Caenorhabditis elegans: one gene and its partner. The protein of the gene in region 1 interacts with the protein of each later gene in a biochemical or structural test. Each region holds a gene or a part of one and is shown on either strand. Other genes may lie near its edges.

Region 1 (5,885 bases):
TACAGCTTCGAAATACTCCCAAAAAATACTCCCAAAATCATGCAACTTTTAATGGGGAATATGCAGCAGAAATTCGAAAATTTACTTAAAAAATTTGAAGACCAGTATCATTTTTATTTTCTGAAAGTGCATAAAACACAACTCTGTTACTCTCCGTGAGTAATTCCACCTATTTTCAAGCCACCATTCTGTATCTCATTCTCGTTTTCTCTACATCCAATTGGCAATTTTCCAATTTCTTTGCGTCACTCAATTATGTTCTCGCCAAATGGAGACATAGAGGGGTGTTGTGTTTTTGGGATTGGAAACAGAAATATTCTGAAAAATGAGAGAAAGATGTGAAAGAAAAATTGGAAAGAAATTGCGAGATTTATAGAACGATCAGAAAAGTTAGTGTGAAGTGTTTAAAGAAACAAACATTGTTTATAGTATGGATAAGGCTACAAGTTAATTTATAGGAAATGTATATAATAATTGCAACTTGTATGAACCAAAAATCCAAACTCTGAGTTTTTGTGATTTGATTTTCAATTGAATTGTAATTTTTTAGAAAAAGTTTTATGAGAAAAGTGAGATATCTAAAGTGATAAATGTTTTTGATAGACCTCTACTCAAATATGGATCAGCGTAGAAATCAATTTCAAAACAAAAAATCTGCCCTACAAAAAGTATTATTGTGTTTTTCTAGAAATCATGGTCTTCAATAAATTTCGCTTTGGATTATTTCTACAGACTTTGAAATAAGCAAATATAAAAAGTAAAAAAAAACACCAAGGAAAGAAAACTCACCTTCGATTTTTTTCGCGGGCGTGTCATAAAAACTCTGTTTTGTAACCGTAATCCAATTATTATTCGGAAATAAAAAAATTCTCGGCAGTTCAGAATAGGCAAACAAAGTAAAAAATTGATTTTTTAAAAAAAAGTTTTTAATGAAAAATAACTTTTAAAAGTTTCAATTCAGCCAAAGTTGGTACATGCCTATTTGTTGAAATAATAAAAATTGAAAAAAAAATCTTATTGTTAATAGAAAAAAAAAAATATTGCACCTGTTAAATGAAAAGAAGCGGAGAAATATGAAAGCGAGATGAATGTCTTAACTAGACAAGGAAAACGACAAAATATGCTGATATGTGGTGTGAGTATTCTTTGGAGCGGAAGGAAGAAAAGAAGAAGAAGACGAAGAGAGGAATAAAAATTAAAAGTTCAAATAATCATTTACTCGAAGATAGTTATTATTTCGTACATCTTGTATAATGAGAAAAAAGAAAAGTACAAAAAAATTCAGAAAATGAAACACCAAAAAAAAAGGCAAGATATGGGAGGAGCATATTTTAAGAAAATACTTATTATCAAAATTGTTTTTCTAACAATTGTGTGATGCATGTATTAGACTCCGCCCATATCTTGGTTATGTATCGTGTTTTTGCATGTTCGTACTTGACTTCTACATAGTTCCAAATACGAATAAACGCAGAAACCAACACATAAAAAAATCATTTTTTGTTGAAAATAACCGTGACTCAAGAAGTTTCAGGTAAGAAGAGTGTTAGGAGATCGATGATTGTCGATTCGGCAGCAGCTGATTTTTCAATATCCGCATTCGAAAAAAAGTGAGACGTCACTACTTGGACTATTTTTAATTGATTATTCAGTTAGCTAAGTACGTCGAAATTTCAGGTTCATTAATTGAAAAATCATAAGGTTCACAAACATTGGAATCAGAGTGCTCCGCCAGTCATACTTTTGGCTATTTTCGTCGATTACCCTAGTTTAATAGAATTTTCGAATTTTTGGCTATTTTTGGCTATATTTTGCTATAATAAAATGAACAACAAAATTTCACGAAAAAATGATTGAAAACGAGTGAAATCAACGAAACTGAATGAAAATTTTGGAAAAATAATACATTTACGTATTTTCCGCAAATACCTAACGAGACCCAAATTATCGGGGCGGAGTCTTTCTATTTGGCGTTGGAGCGCGATTGCATTCTGATTTCAAAAGATGCGTTATTCACAAGTGAAAAATGAAACTTTAATTTTCTTAATCAGACAAAAAATGTGAGATTTTTGAAGAAATCGGAGAAAACGGTTCAGCAATTAGCATGAGTTCTCAAATAAAAATGTGTTCTCAGAAATCTCGAAAGAAAATAAAAAAATTAGAAAATTCTAGTTGTATAACTAAATTATAGCCAAAGTACCACATCATCGAAACCTATAATTACACCGCCCGCGCTTAATCGGTAAAAGTTCCCTGTAATTTAAAAATTTAATTTAATTTTTTGTTGTCCAGAATGACATCTTGTGAAATATGCTTTGTTTGAGAAAAACAACTTTTTGAAAATGTCCCCGCACCACTTACTGAAAAAATTATAAGTTTTCGAGGACTTAAAAAGGGCACAAGAAGTGCTTGAAATTGTTGGAGCACGTGAATTTCAAAAACCTCATGTTTTGAAATTTCAAGTGTACTCAGTACTAAGCTTAGTTGTTATTTTTCCTTTTGGGACTATAAAGTCGCACGGTGTGATAAAATAATCCTAAAGAAAATCGAAATTTTCTTGTCGCTTTTAAATTTTATTTTTTTTTTTTTCTCAAAAATCTAAAAATGCAAATGAACCTCAACGAAAAGAAGCAGCTGCTCCGAGTGCGAGTCTACGCGACATCTGAAAAAGGAGAAAATCTCGGGAGGTACTAATTGAGTTGTTGTAGATATATTGAGAAAGATGGAGAACGAGAAAAGAAAATAAATTTATGTTGAATGAATGGGGTTAGACGATTGGGAATAATAGAGTTCGCGAAACAAAAACTACATGAAAAATTGGTTGACAAGTTATTTCACTTTTTAAAATTTCTAGTAAATGTGATGAGATCCTTTATTTGACAGACAGACGAGATGATTGAAAGAAGGACGGGAAAATCAGTAGTTGATCAGTGATTCCGAAGACTTGCTTCTTTTTCAATCTTTTGCTGCTTCTCAGCTCTAATTTTTGCCTCCATCATTCCCTGGATCCAGTAGTGTTCCTTCACCTGTAATAATTTAATGAATTATGATAATTAAGAACACTACAAAAGTGTACTTCTGTGTGCTGATAATATGTTGGCCACTAAGCTGAAATCAATAACAAACCTGTTCAAGCGTACAGCGAGCCTTGGGATCAACGACAAGCAATCTTCCAATCAAATCTCGTGCACCCTTCTTCACAGAATCAGGGTAAGTAAACCGTGCCGCTTTGATTGCCGCATATGTCTTGGACTGATCTTCGTGCTCGAATGGGGGTTTTCCAACGAGAAACTCATAGCAGAGAACGCCGATTGCCCATAAGTCAACTGCGTCACTGTGATCGGCTCCATTCACCATTTCAGGAGGGAGATAGTCCATTGTTCCGCACATTGTTTGGCGCCTGAAAACATGACAGTGAATTTTTGGAAACATCTAGATTTCCTAAATTTGAGGATAAACTCACTTATTCGAAGGAGCATGAACACTCCATCCAAAATCTCCAATTTTCAATTCTCCTTGTGATCCGATAAGCAAATTCTCCGGTTTAATGTCGCGATGAATCACATTTTTCCTGTGGCAATATGACAAAGCATCTGCGATCTCATACATATATTTTGCAGCTGTTGGCTCTGAGAATCTCTTGCTCACTGTCAATTGCTTGTACATTTCGCCTCCGGGGGCATATTCCAAAACGAGATAGATCTTCTTCGCATCCCAAAAATATGTGTAGAGCTTGATAATATTCGGGTGATTCAAATGAGATTGAATCTCAATTTCACGCTCCAATTGATGCTCGACGCCTCCTGAGATGAGTTGCGATTTGAATAGAACCTGAAAATATGTATGGGTAAAACGGATGTCAGAAAAATGATAATTCAAATAAATACAAAATAAATCAATATGTTACCTTGATCGCTACATGGAAATGTCCAGTTTTTGTGCGAGCCAGGTAAACACTGCCGAATTTTCCTTTTCCCAGTGGTCTTCCGATCTCGAAATCGTTAATAGTAAATTTTCTGTAAAATCAAGAATAATTTATAAACTTTTAAAACCTTGATTTCTTACCCTCCCTTCTGTGGAGTATTCACAGTTTCCTTCTCTGGAAGGTTGATTACAGGTGGCTTATTCTCCATGTCGGAACTGAAAAGTTTTTTATGAAGAAATAAAATAGACGGCACGATTAAGGACAAATTAACTAAAAGAAAACATCACGATAAATTTATAAATTGAATTAATTAGAAGTTCAATGGCCCAATTTTTAATTGAATACATTTAGATATTTATGTAGAATAAAAATAGGACTAATTCTGCTTTGATTTCAAAAAAAAGTGAGAAATCAACACATTACCTGAGTAAATATGTTTACAAAAAACGAGTTTTGATTGCAAATAATTCTAAAGAAACTAAAAATTGTCAGCTGGATAGTAAGGAGAAATGCAAGCCGTTTAAATAAAAAATTAACGCGGCAAAATGCAATGGTCCGCAATATGTCGTCATGTACGGTGTAAATGCGTACTTGGCCCTGTGCCAGGCCCGTTTATCCTGCTTTTTTGTTTGTTTTAAATTAAATTAAATTGTATTTATATATTTTTGTTCTTCTTAAATGTTTTCCTATCAAAACAATCCGTAGAAAATTAAGATTCAACTAGAAAATTTCAGTACTCATTGGACTATGTACGGAGTTCTTGTAATTGGAGCTCCTGGAGCTGGAAAATCTACATTTTGTGCAGGATTAACGGACATTTTCTCACAAACCAAACGACCATTTCTCACTATCAATCTTGATCCTGCTAATGACACAATGGCATACGCACCTGATGTAAATATCACTGTAAGTATTTTATTCCAATGAATATAGGACAATAATTATGAAACGTGGTACAGATCATCTATCAATGTTATTTTAATACTTAAGGTCATATTTTTCATTTAAAATACTAAAGTTTAGGAAATGATCACTGTGAATGATGTAATGGATCGACTTGGACTTGGACCAAATGGAGCTCTCAAATACTGTATTGAAACACTTGGAGCTAATTGTAATTGGCTCCTCCAGGTAATTTTTTTGGCAGAAAAAGTTAATTCTCAAAAGCTAAAAATTGTTTTCACAACAATTGAGCTAAAATCTGGAATTCTCTAAATTTGAATCGAGAAAATCGGAAATCATTTTTAACCTCTTTGTAGTTTTAATATTCAATTAAATCTTTTTTCAGAAAATCGAAGCGAATCACAAGAAATATCTGATAATTGATTGTCCCGGACAGTTGGAACTATACAAAAGCGAAGGCGAACTATGGAAAGTTATCCGCTTTTTGGAAAAATCCGGTGTTAGACTATGTGCCTTACATCTTGCCGATTCACTTTACTGCAGTGACCCATCGAAATTCATTTCTGTTGCATTATCCACATTAGGTAAGAGTTCATTAAGATTAAAAAAAAATTGAAATACTTTTCTTGTCTCTCGACCCGAAATTTCCAAATATAATTCAGCTGATTTCCTCCAAAAAATGAAAATTTATTTTTGTTCTGTACAATTTTGAAACTCCATGGGCCTTTATGTATTTCTGGCTAAGAAATGCAATATCTTTCTGGCACATAAAACTTTCATTTAATCTGAAACCTATTTTTGTTATTTATTTGATTTTAGATGGAAAAAATTGAAATTCGGAACCACTTTAAATTTTGTGTGGCTGAAAGGAACAAATTAAAATTATATTCATTAAAAAGCTTCAATTTCAGCGACAATGGTAACAATGGAGATGCCACAAGTAAACTGTCTGTCAAAAGCAGATCTTTTCTCTGAAGACGGGACCTATGATCTCGAGTTTTTCTCCCATTTACCTGATGTCAATCGACTTTTGGATCTTTTGAATGAAGTTCCCGGA
Region 2 (10,169 bases), 3.2 Mb from region 1:
TTCATTCATAACACCAAGATTGTCTCTTGATCAAGAAAAAAATTTTGAATTACCATTGTTGATTGGGAAAAAGTTTAATTTTTATTGTGTATTTCATAGTACACCAAGAAAAAATATTTTTTAAAAATGCGGGAAAACTAAAATTAATTAAATTTTTAGGAATCCCTCTTTCATCGGATCAAAATTCTTCTAAGCTCAGAATGTCTTTTATTTTATTTAATTGAAATCATTTTGTAATTTCAGGAACTCCATTCCTGAATCCATCGTCTAAAGCCGAGTACGCGTTGGCTCGTCTTGATGATGTCCTGAATTTGGCTCAAAGAGGTTCAATTTGGCCACTGACGTTCGGTCTCGCATGTTGTGCTGTCGAAATGATGCACTTCGCTGCGCCAAGATATGATATGGATCGGTACGGAGTCGTTTTCAGAGCCTCTCCCAGACAGGTTAGCTATACTGATCATTTTGAAATAAAAATTGTGTAAAATTAAATTTTTGAGTTGAAATTTTCCCATCAACAACAAAATGTAGTCTTAAAATTCATATTTTCCAAGTTCTAGAATTAATTTGGCAATTATTTCTCAAAACTCGCACCCCTAAATATCAACTCCATAGCATCATTCTCTGGTCAACAAGAAAAAAAATGATATCGTTGTCATGACAAAATTTAGTTTTCAGTCTCTCAGTGTATGCGTTTTCAAAATTTATTCTATCTATTTATCAAAATATTTCAGGCCGATTTGATTTTCGTTGCCGGTACAGTAACCAACAAAATGGCACCTGCACTTCGCCGCATATATGATCAAATGCCAGAAGCAAAATGGGTTATTTCAATGGGATCATGTGCAAACGGAGGAGGATATTATCATTACGCATATTCTGTACTTCGTGGATGTGATCGTGTGATTCCAGTGGACATTTATGTACCAGGATGCCCACCAACTGCTGAGGTATGTGTCGAATTTTTATGATCGCTTTTAAGTTTGCCTCATTTTCAAAAATACCTTGAGTTTTGAATCTTTTTTGGAGAGTCTAGAGTTTGTTTAGTGGCTGGCTTGATGTCAGTATTAGATCTCACGTTATCGTATCAGCACACCACAGCTAATTCATTTTCTCTCATTATCCATATTTATTTGGTCCACCTGTTACACAAAAAACGCACTCAAAATCTGACTGCTCAATTAAGGATAATGAGTGTCCAGATCTCGTGCAGGCTCATTTTCCATTAATTGAGTAACAATTTGTTTCAGTTAATGTCTGAAAATATTCCAAGAAAAGCGTGTTGCTATGTTCAAAAATGAATTTTAATAATTCTATGACGTCATAATATGTACCTCACTATAATCTCGACACCCCATCATTATCAAAACTGTTTTTTTCGGGTTTTTCCGAAAAAGATTTTTGAAAAAAATTTCCCAATTTAAGAATGGTGGGCTAAGGACGGCATGATGTAATCGCGCTCCACGACCGATTGTAAATATTTCGAAAATACGTGGGTGCATGTGTACTCAATTATTGATCGAATTGGCGCGAAAGTCTTGTGTTGTCTACGCTCTCTTGCATACCATTGAGTCTTTATTTCTCTATTTCTGCTTAGTTTCTCAAGCATTCACTAATGAATATTTTGCCGTATCTAATGCAACAACAACTTGGTGTTTTGTTTAAATCTTTAGCTCTTCGAAATACTTTATCACATTCTGACTGTATCAGCGAATTTCTAATACATTTTAAATTAGTGAAATTATCTGAATAGCTTTAAAAATATTCCTAGCCTGCAGTCTTTTCTGAAAATATGTTTCGTCTAATAAAGAAAATAATTTTAATATAAAAAATTATTCCAGGCTCTTCTATACGGAGTTCTCCAACTTCAAAAGAAGATCAAGCGTAAGCGAGAAGCTCAACTTTGGTACAGACGCTAAACAGAACACGAGGCGAAAAGAAAGTACGAGAAAGTTGGAGAACTGTGAAAAAATTCGCAGAAAAATGGTCATTTTGTACGAGTAAGCCCCACTTCATTCATTTTTTGTGTTTCTCCACCTTTTCTCCATTTTCTTTTTTCTAGATCTGATATCGATAGTTTCGTTCGTTTTTTTCTGCGGTTTACTTTTTTTTTCGAATAGTGTCTATTTTTACCTCATGTTTTTTTTGGTTGAAAAAAAGTCGATAACATTTTTTTAAAGTTCTATTTTTTTCTCTCATTTTCTTTGGAACGGTTAACAACGCCGACCCTTTGTGGTTCTCTTTTTATTTATTTATTCATATTTTCACAAAGTCTGTGAATTTTTATATAGTGATTTGAAAGGAGATCACGACGCACTTTATAGCGCCGCCAAGTTTTTTTTTTTGGATTTGGTTTTTGGATTGAAAATAATACAAAAAAAGTCTGTGTGGATTGAAAATTGTATTGCGCAAATTCAAAAACACAAATTTTCTGGCGCCTCTTCTGAAAATTGCTGATCCTTTGTCACGGGCACAAACCTATCGTACACATTGATCTCATTGATTTCCTGAATGAGTTAACGTGAGTACGTTGAAATATTTTTTGCAGGATTTTGCAAAACTGATTCATCAGGTGTGCCCGTGTTTTTTGCGCGATTTTGGTCCATTAACTTCCAAAATTGGGAAATCCACACGGAACCGCGCTTTTCGAAACGCTTTTTAGGGAATAGAAAAGATCACATTTTTCTACTTTTTGTTTGTGATATTTTCACTACTGGACCATTCAAATTCGCCTTAATATCCCTTTTCCGAATCTGCAGTTTTATATTTTTCCGTCGTTTCGAGACACAGCGGAGGATCGGAGGTATTGAAATCAATATGTTACCGAATAATCAATGGCAAATACCTATAAACAATGGATTAACACATCAGGAAAATATGGCAGCACACGTGAGTTATTGGAAAATTATTGACATTTATTAAATAGTTTAAAATTCTTGTATTTTACCCAAGGATTTTTCTGTTCCAATCTGTTATTTTTCAAAAAGTAAAACTGATGGATTCCAAATTTTCAGGCAGCCGTCATGAAATTGAGAGTACACGATCTTCAGGTTAGATACCGTTTTTAATCAATCTTTATTGTTCAATACCTCAACGAGAAGGCGATGTGAATCAAGAATTTATGAATTTCAGTCGATTATCTCGCAATTGTCACTTCGAAAGCCACGTCCACAAAAATCGGAGCATCAGAAGGTCGTCGTTGAATCCTTGCGTGATCCTCATCATGCTCGGCAAATTTATCAAATGGTCATTTGTTTTTCTCGTTATTTTATTTATGTTTTTTTTTAAATGATGTTTTACAGCATTAATTTTCTCGAGTTTACAGGCTTCCAATTTCCCGAACGGAAATTATGAGGTAAGTATGAAAAAGTTAAATACTTTCAGTTAAAAAAAAACTATGTCAACTTTGATTAAATAGATGTGTGAGGTACTTTGGGTAACGTTTACCAGTGTTCTACCTCGGAGGAAATTATTCATTCACCTAGTATTGTCTCTTTACTCACACAATAAGTCTCGCATTTATCTCCACTAGCATCCTCATACCCACCATATATGTAGCCCTTTGTTTCTCTAAGTTTCCTCAAATATTTCATCCATTCTGCACTTGCTTCCTCGCAGCTCCGGCAACGGGACTTTCGCCCGTAATAAGGTGTTAAAAACCTCAAAAGCAGTGGATCTTCGAAAATTTCTTAGTTGTACTTTGCCCTGACCTTCTTTCCATGTTTCATACGTGTAGCTTGGCGCGTAGTTTTTCATTACAATTTTTATTTTACTAGATTGATTCTTTTGAATACTGTCACACTTTTTTGAAAATCAAATTCAAATTTTCACTCCTAAAGAGGTATTTGAGTTTTTTAATAATTGTTTCACTTTGAAAAATCGATATGGAAGCGAATTGGCACGATGTCGCTCGTGAGAAACTGGGAATCGTTTTTTTTTTTGTTGTTATTTCACAACAGTTGATTCGAATGCGCGTAACTATTTAAATCAATCGAATTTTTAGTTGGCTTATTATTGAAATTTTACTAAATTTTAAGAAAGTCCTGTTATCAAAACTCCAAAAAAACGGCTAGGTTTATCAATATATATCATTTCTTCGCAAGCACCTCTCCTGATGACATGTGCGCTCTATTGAGAAACAAACGTTCAAAAAATCTCTTCCGCTTTGTTTTTTATTCCCAAATGTATTTTTGCAAATGTTCTAATTGTCTAAAATATTCCACATATTTAAAGTTAGAGCCTAAAAAATTGTTTGTAAATCGTTTCTGTTTTAATAACTAAATTAAAAAATGTCAGATGCAGAAGCGACCTGCAACAACATCCCAAGTTCGGTCTCATCCATATGTGCTGCCATCTCGATCTGGAGCTAGTAATCACTTGGTCAATCATCATTATCAGCAGCAACAACAACAACAACCACAGCCTCACAATCTACTTCATCAACAAATGATGGCGTCACATCATTCACATCTGCAACAGCAGCACCATCCGTCGACGGTGAGATGGCTAACTCCTGAACTGCTCGAAGAGCAACTGAGGGGCTCGATGAGATACGGCGCTCCCGCTGCTGCTGCTGCTACCAACGCGCCGCTCCATTCATCTTTTCCTAATCATGGACGTTCTTCTCAGCAAAGTTTGCAGAAGTCGGAAAAATCAAATAGGGTGAACATTTTCGCCGCATTTTTATTGCCTGAAATTCACGATAAGAATGAACGCAAGAATATCGAGGCGGAAAGCATGTGAAGATATACTTTCGGTTTATGACCGTAACGGAAAATTTACCTGAAAAAATTACACTGGTAGCTTCTTCTGGGCACATATATCATATTGGCCAGTCGCGGTTATTTGAAAATTCCTCAATCGTGATACATTATGCAAACAAATGTCCTACCGTTTATTGAATGCACTTTTTTGAATTGCGTGTAGCATTCAAAAAAAAGAAAGAAAAATTCGAAGCTCCAAGATTTGCACGCTGTTATCACGAAATTTTCTGCATGATTCCGAATGGCGTAAAAACTAGAACAAGTGTGGTTTTAAGATATTACAGTATGGCATTCTTAGGAGCATGTTCATGAAGAAAAGCTTAATATGATAATCCTCTCTAGGCATTTCTTCATATTGCCGTGCTCAATTTTCAAATAGTTTTATTTCCAATTAGTTCGTAGTAGCATGTAAAAGTGTTTTTTTACTACCAAAAAGCAGGCATCATTAGAAATTGCGCGGCATGTGTTATACAGTTCGCTCACACGAGTTCAATGTTATCACCTGAAAATTGCTTTCAGCGTCTCTTTCTTACATTCCCACATGTCTAACCCATGTATTTTTTTTTCAGCCGAAAAAAATGTATGCTGATAATTTTGAACCGCTTCCACTTCCATTCTACGATGTTATTTCTGTTTTGCTGAAGCCTGTCGAGCTGCATTCATCAGACAGTCCAACTTTGAAGCAAACAAAACAGGTTGGTCTCAATTTACTCGCTCTCCAAGCCGGTTACCTATTAATTACTAATTTCAGTTACAATTCCCGTTCTTATTGACTGCTGAGCACATCTCCAAGATTTCGTATCGAGCTGATGTTACACCTCTTCCACGATATGAATTGCAGTTGAGGTACGTTTTATTATCATTGAAATCGGTTTAAATCCTTGTTTTCAGGTTCTTCAATCTTACTGAACCAGTTCAGGGTCCTCAAAAAGACGACTTTCCACTCAATTGCTACGCACGTGTTGATGATTCTGTCGTTCAATTGCCGGTATGAGATTTGAAACGTTCACGAAATATATTTAATTTCAAAATATCAATTATTGTTAGGAGTTACTATTTCTTCAAATTTCAGAATGTAATCCCAACAAATAAGACAAATGCTGAGCCGAAACGACCATCTCGTCCAGTGAATATCACTTCAAACATGAATAGATACAAGAAAGAGCACACAGTTGCAGTCGAATGGTTAGCCGACAAACGTGTATGGGCAGCTGGAGTTTATTTCGTTCATCGTGTTAACTCGGATATTCTCTTTAAACGTCTTAATCAGAATGTATCAAGACATCGATCACTTGAGGTTACCAAGCAAGAAGTGATCAAGAAACTGTCTGGAGGTGAAGATGATATTGCTATGGATCGTCTTAATATCAGTCTTCTTGATCCACTGTGCAAGACAAGAATGACAACGCCTTCTAGATGCCAAGATTGTACCCATTTGCAATGTTTTGATCTCCTCTCATATTTGATGATGAACGAGAAGAAACCAACGTGGCAGTGCCCTGTTTGCTCGAGTAACTGCCCATATGATAGACTTATTGTTGATGAGTAAGTTTTCAATTCACACTGACTAACTTTGATTTTAAAAAAAAGCGAATTATCTCAATTCTATGTTTTCATTATTTTTCTATTAACTCTTAGATACCGTTCCCTCACTTCGAAATTTCCAATTCTTGTGAAGACACTATTATTTTTCCAAACACAATTGTTATCTATAGCGATGGACAACACCCTTAAAATAGCCATGATGAAACGGTGATTAGGAAATTCGGAAACGCGTCGTCTAAAATAGGCATGTATTTGCAAATATAGTCTACGATTATTATCAGTAGTTCGTATTGGTCTCCAACTCAAAATTCAGCTCATGACGTAAGAGAACATGAAACAAATGGCAAAGGTCAATCATCATAATTGAGCAAGAGTTTTAATGTGTAATTGAAAATTATTATTATTCAGAAATTCAAAATCCCTGTAAATAATTCTCAATCAATTAATAATCCAAATAGTGTTCTCACTCTTATGTTTACCATGATCCAGATTCATATTGTGAACAGTGCATCATGGACAAACAACAAATTCGATGGCTAACTTCATGCAGTTTTGTGTGAAGCTGTCTGTTCGCACTATTCGCTCGTTTTCTTAATTGGAAAATACTTTTTAGTCACGGAAATGCCTGAGAAACTGCTTAGACGTTACCCAATTCAACATTTTATTTAAGAAATATTCAAATATCAAAATAAAAAGCAATGTTCTGAGACTATGCAAATATTGTTTCATCTTTCAGTTATTTCCTCGATATGCTTGCAAAGGTGGATAAGAATACGACGGAAGTTGAACTTAAGGAAGATGGCTCGTACGATGTTATCAAGGAAGAAGCTTTTTGCATCTCAGATGATGACGACGATGACGTTGTACCTGCTACTGTTAACGGTACAGCGTCATGCTCTTCGACAAATGGCAATGGACTTGCAAATGAAGCAGCGAAGAAAAAACCAGCTGACGACGACATAATTACCTTGAGTGATGACGATGATGAGGAATTGAACAGAGGTATAATGAACTCTCTGAACGACAGCTTCTCTCCTGGCAGACACACAGGTTTGCTATTCAAATGGCGTGGTGTGAGACAAGCTGAGAATATTGCAGTTTCTAGCAATATCAATTAAAAGTATTCACTTGAAATTCAAATCTTATTTCAGCTTCCGCAGAATTGGCTGCTCAAAAGACACCACCACAGCAGAAAAAGAAGACGAAAGACGATGACATAGAGATTATTACTCTCGATGATACACCACCTCGTCCAGTAGCTGCAAGTGCAAATCTTCCAATGCGTCAGATGTCTCAACAGAATCAAATGCCAGTTGGCTCATCTCCATCTGGAATGGCCTCAACGCAAATGGGAATGAACGAGGGTGCAAGTAAAACTATCCGGGATGCGCTGAACAAAATAGGAGAAGTAAGTTCAGAAAAACACAAATCTTCAAAAGAGCCAATATTGTTAGTTATTTTCCATAGTTTTAAGAGGATTTGTTCTTAATTTGACTGAAATCAGTATTCTAGTTATAACTTATCCGTTTTTAACCAAAACTAATACAAAGATTGAATTATATATTTGATTATATTATTATATGATATTGTTAAACTAACATCTGCTTCTCCCTGTCCACACTCACTAAACTGTCTGTTTGTTGCAGCAGTCAGCAAATTCATCAACACAATCATCTCCGCTTGTTCAACTTCACCATACGACACATCCATTGAATTTTGCTCAATCATCTTATATGAATCCCTCTTCAGGATCTCAAACACCTACATCACAATACGGATATTCGGTATGCCAGCACGTGTTAATAGTCTACCACACGCACTAATACTCTAGTGATATTTTTTCATAACGACAGAACAAAAAAATCCTGTTTTAATCTCTTTTTTTTCTTTGTTCAAGCCCCTATTAATTGGATAAGATACTTAGATGATTGTCCACTGCACTAGAATTCTGTCGAATTGAAAAAAATGCACTAGTTTTACGTCTGGAATTATAAACTTAACAAATATTTTTCAAAATTTTTTAAAAATTGAACTCTCGTTTTCAGCCAATGATAAACCAGGCACCACACTTCCAAATGCAAAACGGGCTCATAGGGCGAAACAATCAAATGGTTCATATGCAGCAGCACCATCTTCAGCAGCAACAACAGCAGCAGCAGTCACCACAAATCATGTCTCCGTCTTTTTATGCTCAACAGCAAATGTCAAACGGTAATTTTTTGTACACCTTACAAAGTTTTTGTATATTATGTTTAAACATCAAAACAATCACTTCACGATCTTCAGTTAATAGCGAGTAAACTTGTTGTGTAATTGCAACCATCCTGCATGCAAATATATATTTATTTCCCTTACTTGGTTTGGCCTCACTTTCAGGTGACACCAATAACATCCAACCACCACGAATTCTTTCCATGGCTGAAATACAAGCAAATGCATCTCGACTTTTGGTAAATGGACACCTGATGATCGATCACTCAGGAGTCACTATGCGCAATCCACGTGGCTCACGGAATTAATGCATGAATTGTATTTTTTGTGCCGTCTAGTTCATTTGATTTATGTGCATCTTTTACCCATATCCACGATTTACAATTTTTAACAGAATCCTGCTTGTGCTTTAGTCTAGTAAGTTATATTTGTCTGCATTATACGGCTGATTCGATGAACTTTAACTAGAATTTTGTGACGGTAATGTTTTTGTTAAATGAAGCTGAGTATCCTGTATGCAATCTTTTAAATACAATTGAAAAACACAATCCACTAATTTTAGATTTTTATTTAAAAATTAGATTTTCAATATTCAAAGTTTCAGGTGGTGCATTTGCATATTATCCTCCACAATACCCGCAGCAGCAGTATCGTCAGAATTGATTGATTTCCAATCATACTGCTTAATCTCATTCTTTTGTTTTTTTTTTGAGTTAATTTGGCTTTAATTTAATGTTCGGAACTTCAACCGACCCAATCAAATATCTCACATTTCTCTCCGTGATTTTTGTTCAATATGTTTTAATTTTCAAATCGAGCCCCCAAATCGTGTTTCTAGTTTTCCATCCATTTCATCCGATGTTTTTCCACAGCCGTGAAAATGCACAAGTGGCCTAGAAATTGTAAGAATCTAGGCCATGCGGCTTTCCTGATACCATATTTTTTTCCATTTAAATGGATGCATTTGTTCTCCAATGAATCGATTTATTTATACATATTTGTTTTAAAGAACAAATAATCAATTATAATAATTAGACCGGGGTGGCGAAATGGGAACATTTTTGAGAGAAAAAACTACCGAATCAGTGAGAAGACTAGGGGGAAAAATACAGGGAGAAATCACAAGAGAGAGAGACAAAAATGAAAGAATGAAAAATAAAATAAATATAGGAAAAATAAAAACAAATAAAAAATGAGAGAAGAATACCCGCATTTTATGTTTTTTTCTTCAGAACATGAAAATATCAAAATTTTTTGGATTTTTGTCTTTATGCATACGGGCTCCATCGAAAATTAACAATTGAGCACGTTTGCAGAGATAAATTTAAAAAAAAAGAAGAGGAGCAATACGTGGAATGTCGGAGAGGAAGTTTTATGTCTTGAATCACAAAAATTTCGAAATAAAACAACGCTCTAATGCAAAATTACGGTAAACGGTCTCGACACGATCGGCATACCAAATGAGATGCACGGGGAAGACCTTTAAAGAGTACTGTAGTGTTGCACTCCACTTCGACAACAGGGCGAAACGTGAGGAAAATGGGGGAAATTCAAGTAAACGAGAAAAACATGTGGAGCGAGAGACTACAGTAATCCTTGAACACGGGCAGACCGCGTACCGTATTTCTGGGTCGGAAATTGCACAAAAATATT

What was found. Proteins that work in one complex are often made in the same cells at the same time.
Region 2: of the proteins of air-2 (region 1) and gei-17, one has a biochemical effect on the other in vitro, tested with the Caenorhabditis elegans proteins (2 studies listed by BioGRID).

What each region holds. Positions count from the first base shown.
Region 1 is NC_003279.8:5,935,732-5,941,616, reverse strand, and holds air-2 (Aurora/IPL1-related protein kinase 2), read right to left. Parts: upstream 4,141-5,885; 5' UTR 4,134-4,140; coding exon 4,066-4,133; intron 4,017-4,065; coding exon 3,908-4,016; intron 3,832-3,907; coding exon 3,464-3,831; intron 3,401-3,463; coding exon 3,127-3,400; intron 3,027-3,126; coding exon 2,928-3,026; 3' UTR 2,741-2,927; downstream 1-2,740. Other genes in the region: B0207.6 (GPN-loop GTPase 2), read left to right, coding at 4,673-4,831, 4,949-5,056, 5,214-5,412, 5,740-5,885. UniProt on the Caenorhabditis elegans protein: Serine/threonine-protein kinase component of the chromosomal passenger complex (CPC), a complex that acts as a key regulator of chromosome segregation and cytokinesis.
Region 2 is NC_003279.8:9,100,185-9,110,353, reverse strand, and holds gei-17 (E3 SUMO-protein ligase gei-17), read left to right. Parts: upstream 1-2,771; 5' UTR 2,772-2,814; coding exon 2,815-2,886; intron 2,887-3,011; coding exon 3,012-3,047; intron 3,048-3,129; coding exon 3,130-3,243; intron 3,244-3,322; coding exon 3,323-3,352; exon of another isoform or gene 3,353-3,366; intron 3,367-3,656; exon of another isoform or gene 3,657-3,754; intron 3,755-4,034; exon of another isoform or gene 4,035-4,247; intron 4,248-4,293; coding exon 4,294-4,659; intron 4,660-5,329; coding exon 5,330-5,455; intron 5,456-5,511; coding exon 5,512-5,606; intron 5,607-5,651; coding exon 5,652-5,748; intron 5,749-5,832; coding exon 5,833-6,305; intron 6,306-7,041; coding exon 7,042-7,355; intron 7,356-7,456; coding exon 7,457-7,713; intron 7,714-7,951; coding exon 7,952-8,089; intron 8,090-8,350; coding exon 8,351-8,516; intron 8,517-8,681; coding exon of another isoform or gene 8,682-8,824; exon of another isoform or gene 8,825-9,031; intron 9,032-9,120; coding exon 9,121-9,179; 3' UTR 9,180-9,508; downstream 9,509-10,169. Other genes in the region: nduf-7 (putative NADH dehydrogenase [ubiquinone] iron-sulfur protein 7, mitochondrial), read left to right, coding at 244-443, 732-947, 1,839-1,916. UniProt on the Caenorhabditis elegans protein: Functions as an E3-type smo-1 ligase. Mediates smo-1 conjugation to air-2 in vitro and is required for proper chromosome alignment.